Linked DNA regions of Danio rerio. The protein of the gene in region 2 interacts with the protein of the main gene of each other region in a pairwise test. Links are inferred from orthologs where the notes say so. Each region holds a gene or a part of one and is shown on either strand. Other genes may lie near its edges.

Evidence for each region.
Region 1: the proteins of bbln (region 2) and thap11 interact in a two-hybrid assay, tested with the Homo sapiens proteins (2 studies listed by BioGRID and IntAct). The link is inferred for Danio rerio from reciprocal best matches to the Homo sapiens genes BBLN and THAP11.
Region 3: the proteins of bbln (region 2) and cep290 interact in binary tests that used the Homo sapiens proteins (3 or more experiments, as listed by UniProt). The two-hybrid records come from large-scale screens. The link is inferred for Danio rerio from reciprocal best matches to the Homo sapiens genes BBLN and CEP290.

Annotation. Positions count from the first base shown.
Region 1 is NC_133182.1:29,080,044-29,085,728, forward strand, and holds thap11 (THAP domain-containing protein 11), read right to left. Parts: upstream 3,600-5,685; 5' UTR 3,477-3,599; coding exon 2,703-3,476; 3' UTR 2,182-2,702; downstream 1-2,181. UniProt on the Homo sapiens protein: Transcription factor, which has both transcriptional activation and repression activities. Also modulates chromatin accessibility.
Region 2 is NC_133180.1:1,623,639-1,630,142, reverse strand, and holds bbln (bublin coiled-coil protein), read right to left. Parts: upstream 4,199-6,504; 5' UTR 4,038-4,198; coding exon 3,962-4,037; intron 781-3,961; coding exon 560-780; 3' UTR 202-559; downstream 1-201. UniProt on the Homo sapiens protein: Essential for intermediate filament organization in intestinal cells, interacts with intermediate filament and regulates intestinal lumen morphology.
Region 3 is NC_133200.1:18,971,856-18,978,279, forward strand, and holds the start of cep290 (centrosomal protein of 290 kDa), read right to left. Parts: upstream 4,482-6,424; 5' UTR 4,431-4,481; intron 4,117-4,430; 5' UTR 4,043-4,116; coding exon 3,950-4,042; intron 2,502-3,949; coding exon 2,424-2,501; intron 2,256-2,423; coding exon 2,186-2,255; intron 390-2,185; coding exon 343-389; intron 25-342; coding exon 1-24. UniProt on the Homo sapiens protein: Involved in early and late steps in cilia formation. Its association with CCP110 is required for inhibition of primary cilia formation by CCP110.

The sequences.
Region 1 (5,685 bases), on a different chromosome or scaffold from region 2:
CAGTGAACTATTCTAAAGCTTGTACTTTTCTTAAATTATCAGCCCTTAGAATTAAAGGGGCTATATATCATAGACTATGTTTAAGATTCGAAGATGTTCCTGATTAGTATTGAAAAGGTTTTAGTGTAAAGTACTAACAAATGGGTTTTGAGACTATAATGAAACATAACAAGATATTTTTAGAATTTCTAGTTTGCCATTGACTGTGAAAGTCTGTAGAGGGATTTTCATTTGAAGCAGTGTTTTTAATATATATAACAAATGGACATTTACACACTACGGTGATCCTTCTCTGACCTCTAAAGATTTACAGTCTTGTCATCTGTTCACAGGATGCCATTAGATTGCAAAGCATGTGCAAAAATACCCACATTGCTACAAATCCAATTCATTCTCTCAACAGTTTTATTACTTTCTTTCTTTTAAATTGAGCAACACATTTTATTAGGGCTGGGGGAAATAGTTAAAAAAGTTTCAACTTATTTTAGATTTAGTTATTATATTTAAAAAGCTTTAAATTATTTTCTCCATGTTTCAATAAAACGTCAATTAGAGTTTGCATGAATAATTTAGTATACAGCTATATGGCTCTTATTTTCTTTTTACTAATTCATCATATGTAAACTCCTGATCACTGTTCATTTTTAGAGCTGTCAGCAGTATTTTTATTAAATCTGTAGTCAATGAATCGAATCAAACTGAGTCAATTAGCAGTAGTGGAAAGAGGACTGAAAAATCATACTTAAGTAAAATTACCATTACTTGCCCAAATATGTAGTAAAAGTGTTTGTTGTAAATATTACTCAAAGTACTCCGTTTTCATGCAATTTGTAACATTGTAACATTCTGTAGTGCATTTAGGTATTGTCCAGCAGGCACGCAACGCCATAAGATATTAATATTAGGTTAGGTTGTGATGTCAGGTGACCAAAATTCAATGTCTAGCCAGCGTCCAAGGACAAAGTCATTTTGATGTCCAATAACAACGTCAAATGGTGTTAATATTTGGTTGATTTTAGGTGGTGTTAGAAAGGGACCAAAATCCAACATTGAGCCAACATCTTCCACACAACGTCAAGCTGTAACATCATTACACGTTGACATTTGGTTGATTTTGAGTTGGTTGTTGGACATTGACGTCGGCCTGACATTGAGTTCTGACGCCAACCCGATTTTCATTTTCAAACAAAATGCAGCGTCGCCACAACGTCATTCTGACATCATGTTGACGTCTTGTGCCTGCTGGGTGTTTTTTTACTGCCATTTTGTTTACATCATCATACAGTAAACATTTGTCATCTCCTCATCAGTGACATGCATCTAAACAGTCTTTGGGTCAATGCGTGTAAAGATTTTGGACATCTTGGACACTTTTAATGCTTCCACAATTTACTGCAATTATAATTATAAATCCCCCATGTCTTTAGATAGTTTGTTATGATGCGATTTACCTTCTATGTGCAATCTGGATCAGAACCCAGCCCTAATATTCTGTTTATATATATATATATATATATATATATATATATATATATATATATATATATATATATATATATATATATATATTATTTATATATTGTTATTTTTTCCTTTTCTAGACAGAATGAAAATTAACCTTGACATGAGTATGCTGGGTCATTGAATTGCATTTTAATTGTGTGTGTGTGAGAGAGAGAGAGAGAGATGAGCAACAAGTTAATGGGTGGCTGCAGTTCACCTAACAGCCACCAGTGTTGCTAATAACAAAAACCCCAAAAGTAAAATGGTCCTTACCTTTAGAGATTTTTTTTCTGATAAAATTAAGAAGAATGTTTTTGACATATAGCCTTTGACTTCCATAATAGGATGGAAATACTAAAGTCAGTGGCTACTGGTTTCCAACATGCTTCAAAATATATTTAGTGTTCAAAAGAAGAAAGAAACCTCAAACATATTAAAACAAATGCTGGATTAGTAAATGATGACTTTTAAGAGTCAATATCATCTGCCCACAATATTTAAATGTTAGAATCATTGGTCAATTAGCTTCTATTTTACTGAAGACAATTCATAAATGTGATGGAAAATGTGCTACCACAAGAATAAAAACTAAAAGAAAAGTGTCTTACAAAAATATAACAATCATTGTTTGCTTAAATATCACACCAAAAAAAAAAAGAGTCTCACTCTCACGTGTCATATAGTTCAAAAGCAGTTTACTTCAAACCATTTACCTTTTCTAACTGCATTAACCTGCATGTATAGAAATAGTTCACCTGTGCCAGAAGCTCTGATGCACTCGGATATTAAAAACAAGGAAAGAAAAACCAAATGAGAAGCATTTGATTATTACGCACTAACATGAAGCAGTCTCTGTGTGCGCGCGCATGTTACATGGTCATGAAGTGTGGCAGAAGGCAAACCTCGAGTCTGCCGCCTTCCTCGCACAAACAAACAAACAAACAAACAAACAAACAAACAAACGACATTAAATATAAAATGAGTAGGACCCGTCCGCTGATCTCCCGTCAGTCTCCGTGTAGTGCTGTGCCTGACAGCTCGTGCTTCTGCGCTCAAACACGCACATACACACAGCTCATCTGCCCTATCCGAGTCCTGGAGGAAGTTTCAATGAGAACTACGATGATGCTCAATTGTCGTCGCACAGAAGCACAGACCGTCCTACGCGTCTCCAGTCCATCTTAGGTCCCGGTTGTTCGTCAGAGTTTCCTCTTGATGATGGTGTTGGCGCAGATCAGCCGTTCGCGCTCCTGCTCGCGCTGCCGCAGCTCGTCCTGCAGCCGTGCCTCGGTGACTCGCAGCTGCCGGATGGTGTTCTTCATCTCCTTCATTTTGATCTCCATCAGCGCGATTATGTCCCGCTGCTCGTTCAGCTTTCGCAGCAGCTCCGTGGACGTTGTGCCGGTGGTGAGCGAGTACGAATGATCCGCCCCGCACAGCGCGAAATCGGCCACGGAGCACGACTCGTGGACAGCGGACTCCTCTCCGCCGGACACCACCGCTGTGATGCACGAGCCGTCCCCGGACGACGTGAGGTCCACGGGCGCGATGTACTGGCCGTTCTGGCCGATCTGCACCACGGTGGTGTTTTCGATGTCCCCCTCCTCCTCGTCCTCCTCCAGCGGAGCGGTCTCGTTAGCGGTGGACACGACGCTGGTGATGATGGGCACGACCGCAGAAACCTTCCTGCTCCGGCCGCGTCTGCTCCGTCTCTCGTTCACCCCGCGCAGAGGGAAAAGCGTCGGGACGCGGATGGTGTAGGTCTTTCTGCCGCCGGGGAAGTGGACGCTGCAGACCCGGTGACCGGTGGTGGGCTGGAAAGTGCTAAAGCAGCCGCTCACCCCGGCCCGCGAAATGTTCTTCAGCCATATCTCTCGCTGAGTGGGATCCTTTGGAAAGGTGTAGAATCGCAGATCGCGGTCCCGGTGTGAGTTGTTGTAGCATCCGGGCACGCAGCAAGTGAAGCCGGGCATGATTGTGTAAAAGATGCACCAGTAATACTGCAGTGCCTTACAAGTGTACCTATTTTAGTTTTGTTTGGTTCCTTCGTGTGCTGTTATCCAGACCAGCGGCCTACAAGCGGAACTACACGTCCCACAATACTTACAACTTCCTGTTTTGGTTTCAAATGCTTGTCGATCTCGCGTCTGCGCAGATTGGCGCCTTTTGAGCACTTCACAGTGTAAAAAAACACCAGTGTCGCAATACTGTGTTTACGTCTTTAACGTGCACTGTGTGCATCAAAATGAGACGTGTTTATGCAATAAACCGAACTAGTTTTATCACCACATTGTGTTGATCAATGTAAAGTACGATGGTGTACCGTCCATCACCACTTCCAACGTTTAAATATAAAATGTAGAGTCTACCTTTTATACAGAATGACTCCAAAAAGCCAAACAAACAAACAAAACATAATTAATAACAATACATAAAGCATATAAAACATTAAAAGCATATCCTCGTGCTACTGTAATGTAACATTTACACGGGGGCCAGTTTAAAGAAATAGCACAGCTTACTTTGATACTGAGACTCAGTAAGTCTGGAATATAAACAAGACAGTCCATCTGTAATCATTCATTCATTCATTTTTTTGTCGGCTTTATTAATCTGGGGTTGCCATAGCGGAATGAACTGCCATCTTATCCAGCAAGTTTTTACACAGCAGATGCTCTTCCAGCTGCAACCCATTTCTGGGAAACATTCACACACGCACTCTCATACACTACGGACAATTTAGTCTACCCAATTTACCATTACCGCATGTCTTTGGACTGTGGGGGAAACCAGAGCACCCGGAGGAAACCCACCCGAAGGCAGGGAGAACATGCAAACTCCACACAGAAACGCCAACTGAGCCGAGGTTCAAACCAGCGACCTTCTTGCTGAGGCGACAGCACTACCTACTGCACCACTGCCTCGCCCCCATCTGTAATAGTTAATTAATAATAATAGTGAATAATGTCTCAGTCTTTTTCAGAGACTGAAAATAAGGACATCATGACACAAAAGCATGATCAACAGAGAAAAGCCACAAAGAAGTTATGACATATTCTTTAACAGCTGCACATAATGACATAACCCACAAAAGTATTATGTAGCCTTAGCCTATGATCATATGACAGACAGAGGGTCCAAAGCATCACTCAAAGGTCAAACTAAGGTGCTTATCTTCACGATAAGCCCCAAACACAGTGTAAATAAGCGTTTGTACATAAGATAAACAGAATGTTCTTTTAGAGATTAAAACCTTTTAAAGAAATGATAACATTAAATATTTAATTTTCCCTTAACTTTCTGTGATGTTTTGAATATTTGTAGCCACACTGCCGAAACATTTAAAATAATAACTGATTTGTATGATCATTTATTTTATTTTCAGCTTAGTCCCTTTATTAATCAGTGGTCGACACAGCGGAATGAACCGCTAACTAATCCAGCTGTGTTTTTATGCAGCTGCAACCCATCACTGGGAAACACCCATACTTACACTCTCGTTCACAAACAATTTTAGCTTACCCAATTCACCTGTACAGCATGTCTTTGGACTTGTGGGGAAAATCGCCACACGGGGAGAACATGCAAACTCCACACAGAAATGCCAGCCGACCCAGCCGAGGCTCAAACCAGCGTCCTTCTTGCTGTGAGGCGAGCCAACAGATACTTGTCAATATATATATACACACACACACACACACACACACACATATATATATATATATATATATATATATATATATATATATATATATATGTGTGTGTGTGTGTGTGTGTGTGTGTGTGTGTGTGTGTGTGTGTGTGTGTGTGTGTGTGTGTGTGTGTAAAATATTAGTATACTCTTGCAGATTTACTCACATTTGTGTTTATGAAAGTTTGCAAGTAAAAGAATATTAACTAGATGTATGTGGCATGCCGAAATGTGTTTCAAACTACTTTTTTTGCTCTGTTCTCAAACATGTCCTATATTTGTTTAGCAAAACAATACCTAACAGCGAAAACACGTGTTTGTGCCTCTAGCTGGAGGGACTGAATGGAATGTGAGAGTTCAACATATGGGCGTGGCAGAAAAAGAACACGACAGGGTGGCGCATGCGCAGTTTACCGAAAGTCTCGCATTGGAGATCAGCCTACACAGCAGTAGGCAAGAGCGCAGCAGCAGACACAACTGTAGGTTTGTAG
Region 2 (6,504 bases):
ATCACAACTGTCAATCATGGCTGTTAATTATGGCTGTCAATCACGACTGTCAATCACAGCTGTTAATTATGGCTGTCAATCACGACTGTCAATCACAGCTGTTAATTATGGCTGTCAATCACGACTGTCACAGCTGTTAATCATGGCCGTAAGTATACATAAGTATAGATAGATAGATATACACATATACTGTACATTAAATACAACAAATTTTTGCAATTTGTATTTATATTTAATATATATACACATACACACACACAATATAGTCATACATCTATTTTTATACACAGTATGCACAAGTATATTTTGTAAATATGAACTTTTATTTTGGATTTGATTAATCAGACTGCACTTATCTATATCTATAAATAGATTATCTCAAAATCAAGTACTCCAGAGCGCTGGTAATCCTGTGCATTACAGCCATTTTAAAGATGCACCTGACTTCAATCACAGTATTTAAATTAATACATCTTGGACATACACAACATTTAATAAATACACACACACATAACACACAGTTTTGGTCCAGCTGCAGGTGTCAGACAGAGACATTCCTTTAGTCTTTCTTCTGTGCGTCCCTGGACTGTTCATCTTCATCATCATTAGCAGGAGGAGGAAGATCTGCATGGTCCGTGATCTGCTGTCTGAAGTCTCTGCGCGCCGCTCTGTTGGACTCCAGCAGCTCCTGCAGTTTCCCGTTCAGAGCATCGTTTCGCTCCTCGATGTCGTCCAGACAGGAGTTGATCTGGTCCAGCATGGAGTCGATGGCTGCGTACTCTAACGAAAACACAGCATAACACATTATAACAGCTGAACGTTGAGGAAAACACATAGCAGCTGTAATCTGGATCACCTCATCAGATTTACCAAAATCAAGTAAGTATTTTTTTAAATACTGCTAATCGGATTACTTTTGTGGATTACATTTACACAGTGGCTGCAAATTATTCACAATTCATTTATTCTCCTCGTGTTTAATGTTTATACTTGTTTATAATAATATCCTGAAGATATATTTTTATTTCTATCTGTCAAAACAGAACAAGATTATCCTGCATCAGTGTATGTGACATCAGAGATGGGTTAGCATAAAAGTAATCTAAATGTAATCCAAAAGTAGTCAGATGGCATTACCATAAATGTATTTTATTACTGACTAATTTTGTCATGTAATTTGTAATCAGTAACTGTGAACAGTTTGAAAGTAATCTAAATGTAATCCAAAAGTAGTCAGATTACATAACCATAAATGTGTAATCTAACAGAATATATTACTGATTATTAATGTTATCATGTAATTTGTAATAATCAGTAATTCAAAAGTAATCTAAATGTAATCCAAGTACTTTGGTTACATTACCACAAATGTGTAATCTAAGAGATTGTATTACCGATTACTAATAATTTGATCATATAATTTGTAACCAGCAATTGATTACTGTTTGAAAGTAATCTCAATTTAATCCAAAAGACGTCTGATTACATTACCAAAAAATGTGTAATCTAAGTGATTATATTACTGACAAAACATTTTCTCATGTAATCTGTAATCAGTAACAGTTTAGTTAATAATCCACATGTAGTGAGATTAGGTTACCTTAAACGTGTAATCCAACAGATTATATCACTGATTACTAATTGTATCATGTAATCAATGATTCAAAAGTAATCTAAATGTAATCCAAGTCCTTTCGTTACATCACCACAAATGTGTAATCTAAGAGATTATATTACTGACTTCTAATTTAGTAATCTGTAATCAGTATCTAATTAGTTCACAAGTAATTTAAATGTAATCCATAGTCAGATTGCGTTACCATAAACGTGTAATTCAACAGAATACATTACTGATTACTATTTTTATCATGTAATCAGTAATTTAAAAGTAATCTAAATGTAATCCAAGTCCTTTGGTACATTACCACACATGTAATCTAATATATTTTATTACTGACTACACAATTTGTCATGTAGTTTGCAATAAGCAGTTGATTACCGTTAAAAAAAGTAATCTAAATGTAATCCAAAAGTAGTCTGATTACATTACCATAATTGTATTATATTACTGACTAGTTTTGTCATGGTATTTGTAATCTGTAACTGAGTACATTTCGAAAGTAATCTAAATGTAATCCAAAAGTAGTCAGATTTACATAATTGCGAAGTCCAACAGAATACAATACTGATTACCAATTTTAAAATGTAATTTGTAATCAGTAATTCAAAAGTAATCTAAATGTAATCCAAGTACTTTGGTTACATTACCACAAATATGTAATCTAAGAGATTGTATTACCGATTACTAATCTGATCATGTAATTTGTAACCAGCAATGATTACTGTTTAAAAGTAATTTAAATTTAAAGACGTCTGATTACATTACCAAAAATGTGTAATCTAAGAGATTATATTACTGACTACTAATTTAGTAATTTGTAATTAGTAACTAATTAATTCACAAGTAATTTAAATGTTATCCAAAAGTAGTCAGATTGCGTTACCATAAATGCGTAATCCAACAGAATACATTACTGATTAATATTTTTATCATGTAATCAGTAATTAAAAGCAATCTAAATGTAATCCAAGTCCTTTTGTTACATTACCACAAATGCGTAACCTAATTTATTTTATTACTGACTGCACAATTTGTCATGTAATTTGTAATCAGCAGTAAAAAAAGTTATCTAAATGCAATCTAAAAGTAGTTAGATTACATTACCATAACTGTGTAATCTAACAGACGAAATTACTACAGATTTTGTCATGTAATTTGTAATTAGCAATTGATTAAAGTTAAAAGGTAATCTAAATGTAATCCAAAAGTAGTCAGGTTACTTGCCATAAACGTCTTATATTACTGAGTAATATTGCCATGGTATTTGTAATCAGTAACTGAGAACAGTTAAAAAAATGTAAATCTAATCCAAAAGTAATCAGATTACATTGCCATAATCTAACAGATTACATTACTGATTACTAATTTTATGATGTAATCAGTAGTTCAAAAGTAATCTAAATGAAATTTAAGTAGCTTGGTTACATTACCACAAATGTGTAATCTATGAGATTGTATTACTGATTACTAATTTTGTCATGTAATTTGTAATCAGTAACTTATTACATTTCATAAGTAATCAGCACAGCTCTGCACACACACACTTCCTCTTTCTTTGGCTCCTCTTTCAGGATGTTTCGCTGACACAACGATGGTTTTAACATCTAGCAGACGTTAGTCATCCACTGGACTTTTCCATTATTTCTGTGCTATTGTAGTGTTCATATTTAAAAAAAAAAAAAAGGTTTTACACTGCAAATATTAAGACCTAAATATGGCATATTATTTAGTACTATTTATTATTTTTTGTTTAAAGTGTGTGTGTGTGTGTGTGTGTGTGTGTGTGTGTGTGTGTGTGTGTGTGTGTGTGTGTGTGTGTGTGAGTGTGTGTGTGTGTGTGTGTGTGTGTGTGTGTGTGCTAACGTTGCTCTCTTTCTCTGGATTTATTATTTAGGTACGTGTGAGTAAAACATAAATTTGGTTTAATTCTGTAAACTACTCATGACATTTCTTAGAAATTATAAGTAAAATAGCTAGTTTAAAGCATTTTTTGTCATAAAATAACCCAAAATGCTGTGTTTTCACATGTTTATATTCATTTTAGTCAACATAAGTGTTTGACTTCAGAAAATGAATAACTCAATATTAGATAGAATAAGCTTATTTTCTATATTTTTTTACTTTAAATTCGGGGCCTTTATTTTAAAATAATGCAAATGTTTACATTTTAGTCCAACCAATACACAATAAATAAAGAAAAACTGAAATTTACACGGTTTTATATTTATATATTATAGGCTGTATATAACATTGTAAACTTATTTATTTAAAAAAAACGAATAGTATAATAAAACCGTTAAGAAATAGCAGAAAATAATCAAATAAAGCGTCATTATTAACCTTCTTCGTTGAACTCATCTTCATCCTCGATTATTCCTTCAGCTGAAATATCGGGATCTCCGTTCGGTCCAGACATGTTTACACGCAGAAACAAGCTAAAACAGCGGATTATAACGCTCACAAAACAACTTTAATATGAGTTATAACACACACTGTCTATGTAATGACACTACACACATGTTTATTTACCACACAAACATTAAAAACGCGATGACGAGCGACGAAGAGCTGAGTGTCAGCTGACTGTCAGGACTGTCCAATAATGCGCCTCATCAGAATGATAAATCACCCGTTTTCTCTGCTCAAAATGTATTTTAACTTAAAATAATGACCAAATAAGATCATACAGATTAGTTATGTAGTGACTTTAAAGCCTGTAATGATTTTAAAGCTTTAAAAACAAATTTCTGTCTGGCATTGCGTTAGGGTCTTTGTCGTGTTTATATGACGTCATGTTGTAGTTTTTAAGACGTCGCGCCGCTCAGCATGTGCAGCAAAACACACACGTTTATCCTCTTAGTTTAATATTAATCGTGTTTTCACAGAGTTCTGTGGTGATAGTTTTGGGGTTGTGTTGTTTTTCACACCGGGTTTGTCTCATATCGGGTTTAGCTGTGTAATAATGGAGGATTTACCAGAAGACTTGAGATCATTTCTAGAGAAACAGCCGTGCTTTGAGCTCACAGAGTCGAAAAGGGTCAGTAACACACACACACACACACACACTGACTTCAGCTGCTGATGAGGCGAATAACTGTTTCATATAGTCTTGTTATCGTGAGTGTCGTAATTGTTATCGTAATTGTGTGTGTGTGTGCATTATGTGTGTCGGTGTGTGTGTTTTTTGTCGGTGTGTTTGTGTGTGTGTGTGTGTTTAATGTTTGGTTTGTGTGACTGTGGCTCAGTGTGTTTACTGTGTTGTTTTCTGTATATTAAATGTGTGTATTGTGTGTCTGTGTATTGTGTTTCTCTGTGTTTAGTGAGTATTTATGGTTTGTGTGTGACTAATGTGTGTATGTATTTGTATGTGTGTGTGTGTGTGTGTGTGTGTGTCTGTGTGTGTGTGTATGTGTATATATAATGTGTCTCAGTGTGTTTGTGTGTGTGTATGTGTATTATCTGTTTTTGTGTGTGTGTGTGTGTGTGTGTGTATGTGTCTCGATGTGTGTGTGTATCTGTGTGCATTATGTGTCTTGGTGTGTTTGTGTATGTGTATTTTATCTATCTCGGTCTTTGTGTGTGTGTGTGTGTGTGTGTGTGTGTGTGTGTGTGTATGTGTGTATGTGTGTGTGTGTTTGTGTCTGTCTGGGTGCATTATGTGTGTCGGTGTGTGTGTGTGTGTTTAATGTTTTGTTTGTGTGACTGTGGCTCAGTGTGTTTACTGTGTTGTTTTCTGTTTATTAAATGTGTGTATTGTGTGTCTGTGTATTGTGTTTCTCTGTGTTTAGTGTGTATTTATGGTTTGTGTGTGTGACTAATGTGTGTATGTATTTGTGTGTGTGTGTCTGTGTGTGTGTGTATGTGTATATATAATGTGTCTCAGTGTGTTTGTGTGTGTGTATGTGTATTATCTGTTTGTGTGTGTGTGTGTGTGTGTGTGTGTGTGTGTGTATGTGTATGTGTCTCGATGTGTGTGTGTATCTGTGTGCATTATGTGTCTTGGTGTGTTTGTGTATGTGTATTTTATCTATCTCGGTCTTTGTGTGTGTGTGTCTGGGTGCATTATGTGTGTCGGTGTGTTTGTGTGTGTGTGTGTGTTTAATGTTTGGTTTGTGTGACTGTGGCTCAGTGTGTTTACTGTGTTGTTTTCTGTTTATTAAATGTGTGTATTGTGTGTCTGTGTATTGTGTTTCTCTGTGTTTAGTGTGTATTTATGGTTTGTGTGTGTGACTAATGTGTGTATGTATTTGTGTGTGTGTGTCTGTGTGTGTGTGTATGTGTATATATAATGTGTCTCAGTGTGTTTGTGTGTGTGTATGTGTATTATCTGTTTGTGTGTGTGTGTGTGTGTGTGTGTGTGTATGTGTCTCGATGTGTGTGTGTATCTGTGTGCATTATGTGTCTTGGTGTGTTTGTGTATGTGTATTTTATCTATCTCGGTCTTTGTGTGTGTGTGTCTGGGTGCATTATGTGTGTCGGTGTGTTTGTGTGTGTGTGTGTGTTTAATGTTTGGTTTGTGTGACTGTGGCTCAGTGTGTTTACTGTGTTGTTTTCTGTATATTAAATGTGTGTATTGTGTGTCTGTGTATTGTGTTTTTCTGTGTTTATATAATGTGTATATATAATGTGTCTCAGTGTGTTTGTGTGTGGGTATGTGTATTATCTGTTTGTGTGTGTGTGTGTGTGTGTGTGTGTGTGTGTGTGTGTGTGTGTGTGTGTGTGTGTGTGTGTATGTGTCTCGATGTGTGTGTGTATCTGTGTGCATTATGTGTCTTGGTGTGTTTGTGTATGTGTATTTTATCTATCTCGGTCTTTGTGTGTGTGTGTGTGTGTCTGGGTGCATTATGTGTGTCGGTGTGTTTGTGTGTGTGTGTGTGTTTAAT
Region 3 (6,424 bases), on a different chromosome or scaffold from region 2:
CCCTCCCATCACACGCTGGGCCATCTGGACAGGAAGTGAGGCAGATCTGAATAAAGCTCAAGACCCAAGACCCAAAACCCAAAACTCTCCATCTGTACAGATCTCTGATGCTGGTGGGTTGCATGAAATTCCACTTCTTTTCACAATAATGAACATAACAATAGAAATGTTATGTGTAGAACAATTAGATTAGTAATAGATGGCAATAAACGTGGAATTAAGCCTTTAATCCTCTTAAGTCGGTGCTTGTAAACAGACACAGCACATGCTCACAAACAACAAATACTGTACTGGCAATCAAATTATTAGAACTGTATTCACTTAGCCAAACATCTCCCTTACCTCCAGCTCACTTTCCAGCTTTAAGACTTTGGCTTTCAGCTCATTTTCTGCAATCAATAAAACAAAATATAAACAATTACCCTCCTCACAAAGCTGTAGGACCTAAGACTTTGTTAGATAATTTCATCCTTAGGTTTGCCAAATAGGCATGAAATTTGCAAATTTTTTTTCTACACTACTGTGACGAATACTTGAGTGGACACAAACTCAAAACTCAACTGGGCACAAAAATCTTAAACTCAAAAAGAAAAGTAGGGCGGGACTTGATTTTGTCTCTCTGGAATTGATTGGGTTGTTGTAATTTTCTACTGGTTGTGAATGACATCAAAAACAACAATAATTAATTATAAATAATTCATTTACAGAAATGGTACAACCTCAAATCAGAAAAGATTGGGACATTATGGAAAACCCAAATAAAAAAGAAATGTCTAATTTACATTGACTAATTTTATTTCAGACAATACAACACACATTATTTGATCTGTTCCTCATTGTTATTTTTTTTAAATAAACACATTCCAAGTTTGGTTTTCGCAACACATTTAAAAAAAGTTAGAACAGTAAAGCATTTACCACTTTGTATGGTGCCATTCCTTTTCACAACACTTAAAAGACGTTTGCAGACTGAAGACACTAAATTGATAAAGTGTTTCAGGTGTAATCTTGTCCCATTCTTCCTGCAAGCCTTACAGTGGGCAACAGCACATGATCTTTATTGTTGCAATTTGTGCCCTCAAAATGCACCACATATTCTCTATTGGAGACAGGTTCGGACTGCATGCAGGCCAGTCAAGTACCTGTATCCTCTTTCTCCGCAGCCAGGACTTGTAATGTGTTCAGAATGTGGTTTTGCATTGGCTTGTTGAAATGTGCATGGGGGTCCCTGGAAAAGACGGCAACATATTGTCTACAAAACCTCTATGTACTTTTCAGCATTAATGGTGCCATCACAGAAGTGCAAGTACCAAGTGCCAAGGTATTTAATTTCCCCTAAAAATACTTGAAATACTGATTCATCTAACCACAGCACACACTTTCATTGTGTGATGGTCCATCCCAGATGTCTCAGAGCCCAGAGAAGTTGACAGCACTTCTGGACACTGTTAACATAGGGCTTCCTTTTGGCACAGTAAAGTTTTAACTGGCATTTGTGGATGTAACATATTGTGGAAAATGTTTGTCAAAGTAGTCCTGAGCCCATGTGGTGATATTACTTATAGATGAATGACGATTCTTGATACAGTGCTGGGATCGGAGATTATGATAGTTCAGCTTAGGCTTGCAACCTTGTCCTTTACACACTGAAATTCCTTCAGACTACCTGAATCTTATAATTATGTTTTGCACTGAAGGTGAAATTTTCAAATGTCTTCCTATCTTTCTTTGAGGACCTTGTTTTTAAACATTTTAATAATTTTCTTATGTGTTTGTTTCAAAGTGGCGATCCCCCGCCCATCTTTGCTCCTAAAGGACTAGACCTTTCTTGGATGCTGTTTTTGTACCAGATCATAATTACAATCACCTGTTGACACTACCTGTTTCAAATCACATCAATATTTAACCAATTTACCAGATTATCATCCCTAAACTGCTCCTGTCACAACTTTTTTGGAATGTGTTGCAGGTATGAATGACAGGAAGGGATGCATATTTAAATGAAATTGAAATTGACCTGACAAAACATGAAATATTTTGTGTTTATATTGTCTGCAATGAAATACAAGTCAAAGCAAATTTGGAAATCACTACTTTCTTTTTTTTTTTGCGTTTTCCATGCTGCGTTTTCACATGCTGTGATTTGTTCTGGAGATGCTTAAAACCTAGCAATGATTATACATACCAATTCTTGCTTGTTCTGCCCCTGCGCTGTCTACAACCTCATAGGCACATTTAATTTCATCCAGTTTCATCTAAAAACCCAAACATAAATAATAACATTAACTGATTCATAACAACAAATGCTCATGATAATTCAATGACCATACAACATAATTAAAAGAAATCTGGTAAATGTTAACTACTACATAACTACTGTACGCAGTGCTGCAAACATTGCGTAAATGATGAATCAGCCCTACCCTCAGAAGGGTTTGTGAGATCCTAAAGAGTTGAATCATTTTCTCAGAATCATCTGCTTTTAGGTCCCGTGGTTTGACCTGTATGCAAAAGAAATTTATTATCAGACAAATTTGCAAGAAGAATGTTTTCTTCCTTAAACATTCCGATAAGCGGATGTTAGCCTGAAAGCAAGACCTGAGGCTGGAGATGCTCTGTGGTTTGGCTTGAAAGAATAAACAATAAATATTTTTTTGAACATGCAACCACAAACACACACAATAACTGAGCATTAAGTTTGTAACTTCACATATTCACACTAAATAGTTTGTATTACTAGTAGTTAAATATAATTTTATCATTTATTTACTAAAAAAATAAAACCAGAAAACACAAACAAATATATAAATATAAAAACATACACCAAATCTCTTTTGATCAAGTATATATCCAATATATATAGTATGTGTAAATAAATATGTATAAATGAAAAAACTGTCTAAAGTGCCATTTTAACTATTGCATATAATTTAATTTATTTTGCACAGTCTGAGTCCTGTTGTTAATTGTAGCGTTTAAAATGATAGAAATGTGTAAGTAATAAAGCTCCCAGTATAGTTTACAACATATTTATATTTTGTGAAAAATAAATTGCAGTTATAACTGATTAACAGATGCAATTTATTCAGTAAACAACGGTTTAACAAAATAGAAAAAATATGTAATTTGTCCTTACTAATTATGTTTATCTTACCCTCCACTGTACTAAAAACATATTGGGTGATATCAGAATGAGTTATATACACCAGTGTTTCTCAACCACGTTCCAAGAGGACCACCAGCCTTGCACATTTTCCATGTTTTCTTAACCAAACACACCAAATTCAAATCATTAGCTCATTAGTAGACTGAAAGGCCTGTAATGGATAGAGGTAAAGTTGGTTTTCTTTTCGCACATTCGTTCATTTAGAAGTCCCTAAATTGTTTACCATGTTACTTTGAATATTCGTATGACTCCTAATCAACATTAACACTATCTAATTCACTGTGAACAATGCTGTACTTTGATAGTTATTTGCTGCTAATAAGATTTCTCTATTAAAAATTTGCAAAGAAGTTATCTAAATTATATTACTAATGAGAATGTCTCAATATCCAAATATAAAACCAACTTTACCTCTATCTGTTATGAGTGTGACACCCAAAACATGCAATGATGGTGGTCCCACAGGAATGTGTTTCAGAAACACTAATTTACACAACCATAATTCTATTCAAGAATGTTGAGTCTAAAATACATTTTTTAATGATCACATATTGTGTGTGTGATCATTAAAAAAAAAATATAAAAAAAAAAAAAAAAAAAAAAAAAAATATATATATATATATATATATATATATATATATATATATATATATATATATATATATATATATATAAGTGTTTCTTTAATAATTGCAACTCCAGATTGTTGTATTGTAGTTGCAGATTGTTGTAACATCTAGCTACACTCCTCACAATTAGTGTGCCTCAAACGTGTCAGATTACCATTAAAATCAAATCACAGATCTTCTCATCCTCATCCCCCAGATCCTCTGGATCCATTCCCATGAGGAGCCGCCAGTCTGCGGCCGCAGGCATTCTTCAGGTCAGCTGCAAATGTCCCCCAGAGCTGAACTGAACAACTGATGCTGAGATTGCCAGTCTTTTTCTACCTACAGACAACATGCAAAACGAATGTAGTTTATTTCTTCACACGGACTTCTCATTGAAAACAACACCATATACCGTCACAGCACAAAAGAGTCATAGCAGAATAATAAATACACGACAAAACGCCATGCTAAATATATTAGCCAGACATATAACGTTAGTTAGTTCTCACAATGTCGATAATTAGAAATGCATGCAATTGCTCGTATTTGGGTTGGTTTTGTTCGTTAGCATAAACCTAAATTTGAACACGTCTTAATGTCAACTTTTACACATATTTGTGAAACTAAAGACACTGAAAATAACGTTTTCAGACCTTATTAAGCCATCTTGGGTTCCTCTTGCGCTCCCGCTGCTGCTAGGCAACAAGGAAAACAGTCGTAAAACGTAACGTCGTAAAATTGTCTCTGTTTGGATTCTTTTTAAAAAAAATATTTCCTTTATACGCGGTCCATTCATTATAAGGGAATCACAACTAAAACCATATATCTATCTGTGTCTATACGTTATTTGAAATGGCATTACAGAAACACAAAATCCGCGAACGGCTACTCTGTAATTCCCTACTTTTGTTGTGCCAGGCATTTTGACCCGGAAGCAGTTGTTGGACTCTGTTAATTCAATGCCGTGGATCGAACTTGCTGCTTTAGTCAACATAAACAAACATATTCTCTTTTCATTTAGCTTTTCCCCAGACATGACAAGGTGAGTTGCTTTAATTACATCCTAGCGATGACTGCTGACAGAGAAGATATTGTGAAATGACTGAAACCAGTGAATGCTAAAAGCACAGCTGAAGTTATGTTTGTTCTTTAAACCCAGCAGTCTTTTATGTGTCCAGTTGTCTTTTTATTTTCACTAAAATGTAGCTTATTTTTTACGCTTGGTTGTTGTGTCGATGTTTTATTTTCTGACTGTAATGTGTTAATTAATCGATTGATCTGAATGTAAAACAAATGCTAACTGATAGCATATGATCTGTGAGGCTGCGCCCTCTCTGCTCCGCTCAGTCCACACAGATTATCCCATTATTACTGCGATTAATCTGCTCTTTTATTGCTGCATTTCGTAGCTGCTTAAGGACGTAATGCAGTATTCTAATATAAACTTGTTTTAGAAAGGTTATATACAATTTCTGAGGCTTTTAAAAGGTTTTCCAGGGATGGAAAAGGTCATCGAAATGAATGAAATATTGAAAGATTGACGATTATGTATTTGTATGTATGTTTATTTATTTATATGTCCGATCTGGTCTAAAACATTCACAAAGTACATTTACTTCTCATTATTGTTTTAGTATTATCTAAACACTGTTATAGTATTTCTTTATGTTTCAATTAGTTACTTCATTAGTATGCTTCAAGTAAATTGTAGTCATTTTGATAATTTAACAAAAAATACATTTACCTGTATCAATTCTAGTTTTCATTTAGAGGTTCTAACATTTTCTTTCAGCTTTATGTAAAATAAACAAAACCAATCACAATGATAAAACCACATCAAAATTACAGGAACCTTAAATAGTGAAAATGTATTAAACATAAATAATATAATTGAACACTGTTGCTTCACAGCAAGAAGGTCGCTGGTTCGAGTCCCAGCTGGGCTAGTTGGCATTTCTGTGTGGAGTTGCATGTTCTCCCCGTGTTGGTGTGGGTTTCCTCCGGGTGCTCCGGTGCTTACTCTCTCCTTAGTAATTTAATTTCACAAAATCATTTTTCGCAAACTCTAAATTTTAAAATTAATTTAACATCTAATGACAATCAAAGTACAACATGGTTCACAGTCACAGTTAAATAGGTCTGATGTTGTTTTGAAGTCATATTAATAGGCATGGGCTGGTATAAGATTCTGACGGTATGATAACCTTGGATATAAATATCACAGTTTTGCGGTGTCGCGGTATGGAGATTATTGCTCTAAAATATATTCTTTTTAAATGTCTGGGTAAAAAACAAAACATTTTCCCCTTTGTACACTATATATTTTCATTTGAGAAACATTTAAAGTATTTTGGAGCAGTAAACGTGAGGCTAAATAATTTAAACGAATTTTAGACTTCTGCTGTCTTCATTTATTTCAAAAACACTAAAAAGAACACTATTGTCCCTAAAAACGAACTGTTTTTAACTGTTTTAAAACCTTGACTTTTCCAAACCGCTGCATACCTTGAACACAGTTATCGTCCCATGCCTACATACTAACATGTGATTTCAGACCCAATATTCAAAATACCATGGTAAACAATATAGGGAGCATACCACAACCTGTCACTGACTGAATGTGCGAATGTAAAACCAACTTTACCTC